Sus scrofa: one gene and its partners. The protein of the gene in region 3 purifies or fractionates together with the protein of the main gene of each other region. This does not show direct contact. Links are inferred from orthologs where the notes say so. Each region holds a gene or a part of one and is shown on either strand. Other genes may lie near its edges.

The links.
Region 1: the proteins of NAF1 (region 3) and NOP10 purify together in Homo sapiens (co-immunoprecipitation; 6 studies listed by BioGRID and IntAct, with this or other methods). This does not show direct contact. The link is inferred for Sus scrofa from reciprocal best matches to the Homo sapiens genes NAF1 and NOP10.
Region 2: the proteins of NAF1 (region 3) and NHP2 purify together in Homo sapiens (affinity purification with western blotting; 3 studies listed by BioGRID and IntAct, with this or other methods). This does not show direct contact. The link is inferred for Sus scrofa from reciprocal best matches to the Homo sapiens genes NAF1 and NHP2.

Annotation. Positions count from the first base shown.
Region 1 is NC_010449.5:80,159,452-80,162,844, forward strand, and holds NOP10 (H/ACA ribonucleoprotein complex subunit 3), read left to right. Parts: upstream 1-1,572; 5' UTR 1,573-1,679; coding exon 1,680-1,733; intron 1,734-2,029; coding exon 2,030-2,170; 3' UTR 2,171-2,848; downstream 2,849-3,393. Other genes in the region: NUTM1 (NUT family member 1), read right to left, coding at 1-9. UniProt on the Homo sapiens protein: Required for ribosome biogenesis and telomere maintenance. Part of the H/ACA small nucleolar ribonucleoprotein (H/ACA snoRNP) complex, which catalyzes pseudouridylation of rRNA.
Region 2 is NC_010444.4:80,222,034-80,226,310, forward strand, and holds the start of NHP2 (H/ACA ribonucleoprotein complex subunit 2), read left to right. Parts: upstream 1-1,405; 5' UTR 1,406-1,479; coding exon 1,480-1,639; intron 1,640-1,995; coding exon 1,996-2,065; intron 2,066-4,008; coding exon 4,009-4,114; exon of another isoform or gene 4,115-4,277. UniProt on the Homo sapiens protein: Required for ribosome biogenesis and telomere maintenance. Part of the H/ACA small nucleolar ribonucleoprotein (H/ACA snoRNP) complex, which catalyzes pseudouridylation of rRNA.
Region 3 is NC_010450.4:51,971,679-51,974,862, reverse strand, and holds the end of NAF1 (H/ACA ribonucleoprotein complex non-core subunit NAF1), read left to right. Parts: coding exon 1-21; intron 22-1,660; coding exon 1,661-2,124; 3' UTR 2,125-2,575; downstream 2,576-3,184. UniProt on the Homo sapiens protein: RNA-binding protein required for the maturation of box H/ACA snoRNPs complex and ribosome biogenesis.

The DNA of each region.
Region 1 (3,393 bases), on a different chromosome or scaffold from region 3:
GGTAAACATCAGATCAAAACAGAACTAGAATCTAGGACCCAAGGCATTCTGCAGGGGGGGAGGGGAGGTGGCATTATGGGGTGGGGTTAGGGAGAGATTCCACAAAGGGCTCTGGAAGTGGGCAGTAACCAGGAATTCCCTCCAAATCAGAGTATGGCAACACAATTGTTGCACACCTCTCTGGGGCAACTTGCAGATTCTTTCCTGGATTCCCAACCACATCTTGGTTCCCTACAGAATTCTTCACCAATACATCTAGTTTTTGTCTTTCAATGCTACCCAGTTCTATAACTGACTTCCTATTAATAACAGGTTCTGGCAAACCCTTGACTTAATTCAGTGTTGGCTGTATTTTCTGAACCAAATTCAGAGCACATAGTCTGTGTACTTAAGGATCAAGGGAACAGAATGTTTGAAATTAGGGTTGTCTTAGAAGATCAAGGGCATTGAATTGCTGTATACATATCATTTCCTTGGAAAGCTGTGCTGCAGTTCCCAAACTGTCCACTACCATCAGCTCTGCAGTCCACAGAAGGCTTAGCCTTAACCCTGGCTGAAAAGCCTCCCATTCCATCAAAAACTGCTATTCAGCCTAAAATTTCAAGAGCAAAAAGTCCTTCTTTTTGTTTGTTATTTTTGTTTAAAATTTTTGTTAATAATCTTAATTTTTTAAATGGTAATATGTCAGCATGGTTCAAAAGTCAAACTATGCAAAATGAAATATAACAAGTCTCCAACCATTCCTTTCCTCTGGAACCGAGTTATTTACCCCAGGGAAAACCAAATTTCCTCTGAATCCTTGCAAAGGTATTTTATGCAATTATAATAAACACAAACTATACTCTTTTTAAAAAAGCTTTCAGCTTTTTCTGGTTATAAACTTAATATATATTACAACGTTTCTGCCGTTATAAATAATAACGGCCACCTTCGTAAAGATATCTCGGTTCCAAATTCATTGCTTTAACTAGAAGTCCTATAAGGAGAATTTGTACGTTCTTTTAAAAATTCGAAATACCCCTAAGGGGTGCGTCTTATTAGCTACTCACCACTATAAGAATGGGCGTTGAATTTGTGGTAGAGACTTGAGTTTGAATCTTGGTTCGACCATTAAAACATACTTCACCAGTTTCATAAAATAACTTCACGCTCTTTTCGCTGTACAGAATATTGAATACCCATCATGCACTCTTTACCGCCAATACTTTGAAATAGGGCGAGGGAACCGGATGTAAAAGAGGGGAGGGAAGAAAACCTTCTTCTTTCTTCCCTAAAGTAAAAGGGGTTCTGGGTCCTGGAGCCCTGGTTTCTCCAGGTAATAGAAGCTCACTGCCTCTGAAATGGGTGTGTATCTTGTGATAAAGACAGGATTTTATTCATTAATGTTCAATCTATATCCATCCCTTCCCCCCACTGACGCCAAGCAGTGCCTAGCACACAGTGGGCACACTCCACGTGTCTCATAACGCCTGCAAGTTTGCAACTGGATTGCAACTGGCCAAGTCCTGCGGTAGTGCCCCCTTCCGGCCGGCTGGAGAAAGGCCTAAGTTGGACTACATTTCCCGGCGTGCTTTGAGAGCGAGACTTCCGTCTATACCGGAAGGAAGTTGCCAAACACTTTAGGCCTTCAGTTAGAAGCAGCTGCGGAAGGACCTGCGTCTACTGGCTTCAGCGTGATCATGTTTCTCCAGTATTATCTCAACGAGCAGGGAGACCGGGTCTATACCTTAAAGGTGAGAAGAAACAGGTTGTAAATGGGCATGACGAGAACTGTAGTTGGGAGGGGCGGTCAAGGCAAGCCAGTGAATTGCCTGCCTGGGTGAGGGGAACTAGAAAGCCCAGAAGCTACGCGTAGTAGAAGCAGGAGTGTCTGGCTCCTGGATCCGACCGTCGCGTGTCCTGTCTTCATGTTTACCTTTTTCCGCGTTGCCCCCTCCCCATCCCAGGCCCCATCTCTCATGACTCTCAGTGATAGGGTTTTCTCACCACTCCATTACTGAGATTTGTTATCTCTTTCCTCCTCGAGCAGAAGCTCGACCCCACGGGACAACAGACTTGCTCGGCCCATCCTGCTCGGTTCTCCCCAGACGACAAATATTCTCGACACCGGATCACTATCAAGAAACGCTTCAAGGTGCTTATGACCCAGCAACCGCGCCCCGTCCTTTGAGAATCTCTTAAAATTGTATGCTGCCTGCTAGCGCTCAAGAGACTGTGCAACCAAGCTCTTCGATCTGTGAGCCTTGAAGATTTACTCCAACCCTTGCTCATTAGAATCCGGTCTCATCATTGCCTTTGATCATGCTTGTTGTGAAGCAGTCATGCTAGCATTCCCTTTAAAGGGAAAAAGTTTGAATCTTTTTTTTCATACTTTGAATCACTGCCATGTTATTAAAATGATTTGAAAGAGCTCTTATTTTGTATGTTGTAAGAAGAGAGGATTGGTTTAAAAACAAACGAGGGAGATGAGAGGGAAGAGTACCCCAGGGATACAAGACTTCTTGGTGGCTGCTGTAGCAGTAGTGCTATGCTATGAGTCATAGGAGGGGGCTGGGGAAAGGGAGGAAAGCTTGAGAAAGACTCATCTGCAACAGCCACCTTCACTTGGCCAACCGTTGTGAATAGGAATGCCTTTATGTGTGTTTACTGACCCTGTGGAAATATTCCCAGGCCTTTAGTTCTTTCCATCAAGGAATTCTCTTCTTACATACACCTAACTTCACATTCTGTCTGCTATGTGGAATTCTACATGGATCTTAATTTAGAAGATGAGGCATGAGAGATTCAAGCAGGGATTTTTATTTTTCATGCTCCTCTTGAGGGATCATTTTTATTAAATTGTGGAGGATGTCTTAGGCCTTGAGCTTCTGTCATGGGGTAATCACAAATTTTTAATCCGATTACTTCATAATAGAGGGATGATGAGGCATAATATTGTATACAGGTATCCAAGAAATCCGGGAGTTTCCTGGTGGTCTAGTGGTTAGGTAGGACTCTGCGTTTTCACCCCTGCAGCCTAAGTTCAATACCTGGTCTGGGAGCTGAGATCCCATCTCAGGCCACTGCATGCCTCCAGCCAAAAAAAAAGAAAGAAAGAAATGCTAATGCTAACTTGCTTTTTCCATTCCTTAGGTTAATCGACTCACTATTTCCTAATCTTCTCATTTCTGGCTTTTGACGTTGAATTTAAACGTTTTCTTAGTGCCACTGATTTAAAATTGCCTTTTGGAGATTGCATCCAATTGTACAATCTTCTTTTCCTACATAGGCTTCCAGAAGCAGATGTGACTTAAATAAGCGCAAATCTGATTTATCAAGAGTGGTCCTGGAAAGGGGTAAATGTGCTTCTCTTGGACTCTGATGTTCGATCATCCCAGCAGAAAAGTTATAGTT
Region 2 (4,277 bases), on a different chromosome or scaffold from region 3:
AAGGATCTAGCTGTGCCGTGAGCTGTGGTATAGGTCACAGACGCTGCTCAGATCTGGCATTGCTGTGGCTGTGGTGTAGGCCTGTGGCTACCGCTCTGATACAACCCCTAATCTGGGAACTTCCATAGGCAGTGGGTGAAGCACTAAAAAGAAAAAAAAAAAAAAATTTCCACTTTCTGGGCTGTTCCACCACCACAAAAATGGAGGGCCTAACACCGCATGATCAAGGCAACTGACTTACAGCAACGATCTAATTAATATCCACCCAATAGGACACAAGAAATAAGGCAGAGGTACAAGATCCACCCTGGTCTAGGCCTGCTTGCCTCTCCAGCGGCACCATCCACTAATCCTCTACAGATAACTACACACAGAGTGCCTACTCAGAGCTCTCCCCACGACGCCCCAACTTCTCAGCTTCAGTGTTCAAGCCTTCTTCTGCAGTTCCCGCTGTCTCCGCAATGCCTCCCCTGTGCGTGATGCCAGGCAGTGGTAGGAACGATGAGGAAAACAGAGGGTTAGGGGATGCCGATGCAAGGTGAGCCTGAACTGCAATTTTTTTTTTCCCATGCCAGTGGAAGTTCCCGCCGCCAGAGACGGAACCCGCGCCACAGAAGCAACAGTGACAACACTGGATCCTTAACTAGCTACGCTACAAGGGAACTCCCAAGGACTGGAATTTTAGGTTAAGTGTGGTCAGGAAAATCTCCCACATGGGTAACACCTGAGCAGGTCTCTGCGGGAAGGGCGGGAAAGAAAGTCACCGGCTCTCTGGGGAAAAGCGGTCCAGATCGAGGCACTCAATGAATGGGGCCATCCCTTACCAGGAAAGAGAGCAGAGCGTGAGAAATCGTGCTAGAACGAAGAAATCGTTATCAATTAAGTTAAGGCTTTACTTTAACCTTAGTACCTAGGGTATACGCCACCAGGACCGGCTCTGGACCCGGGACCTGACCAGGCTCGGCACTGCCCATTGGAGGGATCAGATTCTAAGGAGGTGTGGAATCACACTGGGCCGACCTCTGGTAGCAGAACCCGCCCTTTAAGCTAGGATCCGTCCTTTTAGACTTGGTCACGCCCCCCACAGGTACAGCCTCCGCCCCCTCGTCTCCAGTATGGTTGACGCGCAACTCTCAGACGAGCCAGACGAGCCGAGGCAGCCGTCCCAGTCCCTCTTCTCCTCCTCCAGGCCCCGCCTCCCTCCGGGCTCCGCCCCCTCCCTCAGAGGTCCTCGGACTCCGGCCTTAATCCGCCCCGCCTCAGCTGTGGGAATGGTCCTGCCCCTACCGCCGAGACTCTGCCCCCCGCTCTATATTTAACGAGTTTAGCATCGGTGATTGGTCAGAGTCTGGGACCTGGGTTCCTAATTGGCTGTCGTGTACTGACTGCTTCCCTCAGAGGGGCATGACCCGGAAGCGATTTCTGAAGCGCCGGCCGCGTGTACTCGGTTCTTGGGCACTTGGTTGCCGAGTTGCTGCCATGACCAAAATAAAGGCAGATCCCGACGGGCCGGAGGCCCAGGCAGATGCGTGCTGCGGGGAGCGCACTTATCATGAACTGCTGGTGAATCTGAACCCCATCGCGCAACCCCTGGCTTCTCGCAAACTGACACGGAAGCTCTACAAATGCATCAAGAAAGGTGCGGTGGTGGGATGGATTGGGAGTTTGGGGTTAGCAGATGCAAACCACTGCATTTGGATTGGATAAGCAATGAGATCCTGCTGTATAGCACAGGGAACTATATCTAATCACCTGTGCTGGAGGATAATGTGGAAAAAAGGAATGTATATAAATATATAACAGGATCACTTTGCTATATAGCAGTAGTTGACAGAACATTGTAAGTCAACTATAATAAAAAACTTTTTAAAGAAAATCTACAGCCTCAGAAAATAAATAAAAATTTTAGAAAAGAGAGATGCGGCGGACGCCGGGCAGGGTGGGGACGCTGGTGGTGGCCCAAGGCCCCCGGGGCTGATTCCCCTGTCGTTGCAGCCGTAAAGCAGAAGCAGATTCGGCGCGGGGTGAAGGAGGTTCAGAAATTTATCAACAAAGGCGAAAAAGGGTAAGAACCCCCTACTGCCCGGTTTTGCATTTCTAAACGATGACGAAAGTATCCCTCCTACTTAGTAGGTAAAAGTGCTCTGACTTGCCCTGATATTCAGGTGATTAGTCGGTAAATTCCTTTCAGCACAGATGTCAATACATCACTTGCACGAGCTCTAAGGGACGGCCATGGGGAAAGAGAATTCCAGGGGAAGCCAGTCATATAAGCCAACTCACTTCAGGTAGATCCCAGCTTCATTCATGCAGCCACTATTTACTGTCTGCCCCTTTTCAGGCACTTGCTACAGGAGGAGATAGTGACATTAACCACACAGGATTACAACTTGTCATAGGCAACTACAGAAGGGAAAAAAGTACAGGGTGCGGTGAGAATGACTTCATTACCCTACATCTTCCCTATTTGGCATTTGTCAGATTCAGGAACTTATTTACGTTTCTATCTTATTATTATTATTATTTTTTTTGTCTTTTTAGGGCCGCACCCAAGGCATATGGAGGTTCCCAGGCTAGGGGTTTAATCGGAGCTGTATCCCCAGGCGTACCTCACAGCCACAGCAACATGGGATCCCAGCCACATCTGCGACCTACACCACAGCTCACAGCAATGCCAGATCCTTAACCCACTGAGCAAGGGCAGAGGCCAGGGATCTAACCCACGTCCTCATGGATACACGGTTCATGCCACGACGAGAACCTCCTTACTTATTTACATTCTTACTCCCTTTCTCTCTCACTTATATCAGAAAATAAGTTCTTTGAGGACAGGATGAACCGTCTCACTGCTTTATTTCCTTTCCAGAAGTGTGTGGTACATTGTAGTTGCTCAAGATATAAAAAATGATGGGGGGGTGATGCTAGGTGGGATAGCTGAGGTCTGAAGTTCTAGGAATTTGTGTGGGGGAGGGAGGAGCATTCTGTCAGAGGAAAGTGAATCCCAGGGCAGGAGAGGATAGTAGTGGGCAGAAGTGCTGTCCTCTCATGGGGCTTTGTAAGCCATGGTAAGTTTAGTTTTTGTACTCAGAGCTTTGGAGGCCACTGAGGGTTAAAGCCAGGGCGTGACATAATTACATTTACACCTTAAGAAGATGTTTCTGGAAGCTTTGGGAAGGATAAGAGATGGAAGACTAGATGGGGAAGTTGAGATAGGAGGCTGTTTTGGTGCAGAAGAGGTGAGGGCAATTTTGATTAGGTTAGTGATGGCAGAGATGGAGAGAATTAAAGTGGATGGATGAGAAGACTTTTGGACATACAGTGAAGAGGTATGGATTCGAGGCGAATGGACAGAGGGCCTACTCACTGAGAGAGTGAACAGTGGAAGAGGCTGAGTTTGTACAGGAAGATCACAAGTTTGGTTTTAGACAAGTTTGAGGTGCCTTTTATTTTTTTTATTTTTGGCAGCATCTGCAGCACACGGAAGTTTCCAGGCCAGGGATCAAATCCAATCCGAAGTTGTGATCTTTGATCTGTGCCACAGCTATGGCAACACCAGATCCCTAACCCACTGCCCCAGGCTGAGGATCAAACCTGCACTGATTCTCTGGACCTTAAAATGCTTTCCCTGTCCTCATCCCCTCCATGGGCTGCCTGACCGATGTTCATCATTCAGGTCTCCTCTCAAGTATTGCTTCCTGATTTCTTTTCTGAGCTCTTACTGCTTGGCATCCCTCCCATACCTCATCTGTCTCAGCCCAATACCTTTGTTACACTTGGTGGGTTTACTTGTTGCCAAGCAATAGAGATCACCTCCCAGAGGAATGCACTCCCCAAACCAATCTGCACGTACTTCCAGAGGTTTGGCGACACACATTAATAATTGGGATCCTTGATGGCAGGAGCCAACTTACCCATCTCTGTACTCCCAATGGCCAGCTCAGAGGTGGCACTTATAACTGAAAGAGGGAACAAGCAAGCTGGAAATGACAGTGGCTTCTCTCATTTCAGGATCATGGTTTTGGCAGGAGACACGTTACCTGTTGAGGTATACTGCCATCTCCCAGTTATGTGTGAAGACCGGAATTTGCCCTACGTCTATATCCCCTCTAAGACGGTAAGGAGGCTTGGGATAAGGTATGTGGCAGCAGATCATAGTGGGAAAGAGCCTGAGCTTTGGAGTTAAAAGATAGGCCTGGGTGGATTCTTGGCTTTGCTCCTTCCTAGATGAGGGATGGCAGATAAGTTACCTCTCTGCACTTCCATTTCCTTCTTGTAAA
Region 3 (3,184 bases):
GATCTGAATTTAATGAACCAGGTGAGTAAATGTAATAATAGTCATTTTCAATCTTCATTTACATCTATGTAAGTTCCTCAGTAATAAACCTGAGAGAAACATCTAGATTTCTCTTTGCTTTCTGTCATCTGGCTAGCTTTTGAGGTAGCCTTGATCAGGGGAAGTCGGAGTCATGTGTTGTTCAGGGGTGCTTTTCAAGCTTATGGATGTAAAAAGAGCTCCCAGGGCTAAAAGGCAAACTGGGCCTGGTAGAATCATTTGTGCCCATCAGTACTTTTCTCTTTTTTTTTTTCTTTTTGCCATTTCTTGGGCCACTCTCGCAGCATATGGAGGTTCCCAGGCTAGGGGTCTAATCAGAGCTGTAGCTGCCGGCCTGCGCCAGAGCCGCAGCAATGTGGAATCCGAGCTGCGTCTGCAACCTACACCACAGCTCACGGCAATGCCGGATCCTTAATCCACTGAGCTAGGCCAGGGACCAAACCCGAAACCTCACGGTTCCTAGTTGGATTTGTTAACCACTGCACCACGATGGGAACTCCCCATCAGTACTTTTTTCTTAAGAAACATACTTCTTTTCCTGATCCTCTGACCTTTTGGATTCATTTAAAATTGATAATTTTAAGCCTTATAAATGTATAATTATTAAGATACACTGGAAGTTAAAGAAAAGGTATTACTAAAGTTTTAAACAGTAATTTTTTACAATTAAGAATTTTAATTTAGAGTCATAGTTGATTTGTAATGTGTTAGTATTTGCTGTACAACAGAGTGGTTCAGTTATACATGTATGTTCTTTTTCGTTGTCATATCTTTTTCATGATTTTTTTTTCCATTATGGTTTATCACATAATAGTGAATATAGTTCCTTGTGCTATACAGTAGGACCTTGTTATTTATCTATTCTGTATATAATAGTTTGCATCTTCCAGTCCCAAACTCCGAGTCCTTCCCCTCACCCACTCCCTTCCCTTGGCAACCACAAGTCTCTTTTCTGTGTCCACGAATCTGTTTCTGTTTAGTGGATATGTTCATTATTTGTGTCATTTTAGACTCCACATATAAGTGATATCATATGATGTTTGTCTTTTTTTGACTTCACTTAGTATGATAATCTTTAGGTCATCCCTGTCATTGCAAATGGCATTATTTTCTTTTTCATGGCTGAGTAGTATCCCATTGTACATATGTACCATAACTTTATCCATTCTTCTGTCAGTGGACATTTAGGTTATTTCTATGTCTTAGCTATTGTGAATAGTGCTGCTGTGAACATAGGGGTGCATGGATCTTTTTGAATTACAGTTTTATCCGGATATAGGTCCAGGAGTGGGATTGCTAGGTGCTATGGTAGTTCTATATTAGTTTTCTGAGGAACCTCCATGCCATTCTCCACAGTGGTTGTACCAATTTACATTTCCACCAACAGTGTAAGAAGGTGTCCTTTTCTTCACATCCCCTCCAGCATTTGTTATTTTTGTAGATTTTTTTTATTGATGGCCATTCTGACTGGGTTGAACTGATACCTCATTGTAGTTTTGACTTGCATTTCTCTCATAATTTATTGATATTGAGCATCTTTTCATGTGCCCCTTGGCCACCTAAACTGTATTTTTGATGTATTAAAATTAATTTGAATTTTGTTATCCTTTTTTCCCTAAAGGTGAAGATTTTGCAGAAGTACACCAGAATTGGAATGTTCACAGCTCTGCCTCGGAGCCTTCAGCAGGCTATTGCAACAGAGAATTCACGCGGGGATTTTCTCGGGGTAGACACCCTCGGCCTTGCCCTGGCCAGCCCCCACTGCCACAGTTTTACCACTCAGGACCCATGGCGCCTCAGGAGACCCCAGGATTTCCACCTCAGAGACAGGATAGTCTCGTGATGCCACAGTACCCTTTCCCTCCTCCCGTGTTCGACATACACAATTTCTCCCTTCCTCCCCCTCCCCCACCCCCGCCGCCACCGCCTGTATCTGCAAACATGGGTTGGGCTACACCTGCGGTGGCCCCTCACCAATTACTTCCCTTACCATACGCCCTCCCTCCACCCCCACCACCCCCACCACTGCCTCCTCCCTCCTCTTCTGAAGATAGTAATTCTTCTCATTTTGGACCTTACTATTAGGTGGATGTATGCATTTCCTGAGAAATGTGGACTTTGTATATTATATGGAAAGGATTTTTTTTCTAAAGAGATTATGGAGCTAGATTTTTAAAACACTGTAAATTACTAAATGCTTCCTTCACTTGTAAGTAGTTGAGGTATATATTCAGTTGATATATGTATATTATAACCTTTGTGAAATTGTATTCATGAGAATTTAACTTTAAATTGATGGGGTGAAAGTCCAATTATGTAATATTTAATTAAAACTAAACCCTGCCCAATTAAAGATTATGTAAAGATCTAATAATAGACTTGGAGCAAGTTCCATCATGTATTAAACTATGCTGAAAATAATTGTCTTCTTGGTGTGTCTGAAAATAAGGTAAGTCTTATTAAAAGCCTTTAAACTATTTTTATAAACTTGTACTTTGAAAGTTAATTTTGATTATAAATATGATTTACCAATAAATTTAAATGTAGTATTTTTTTTTTTTTTTTTGGCTGTTCCATGCATGTGAAAGTTTGTAGCCAGGGATCAAACTTGTGTTGCCTCAGTGACTCAGGCTGCTGCATTGACAGTGCTAGAACCTTTACCCACTGTGCAAGATAATTCCTGTACTATTGTTATTTTTTTAAGCAGTGAAGCATACAGAGAAGAAAGCCTTACATATTAGAAGCATTATCTATATGTAGAGTTAATATTTGTTTTATATAAATGAGCTTTCCATTATCTGTGCAGATTTTTTCCAATATTTGGGCAAGATCCAGTAGGCTTTACTATTTAATCACTTAGACACAAGGGTTATTCTCAGTAAAGTATGTTACACATTCACGGTAACATGTGAATACTGGGAGACTGTGTCTTCCACATCCATTTCTCAGACCCTTGGATGCCTGGCAGGGGTTAGGTGCTTAGTAAATATTTATTGAATGACTGATTGAATTTAGAGCTTTGAATTAAATGACCAGTGGGTATTCTTTCACGTTTCCTGTATTCATGAAACATAAATGTAAGGAAAGCCCAGAATATCAGAAGTAGAAGAGGCCTTGGAAAGTAGGCTGAACGAGCCCTCACTTA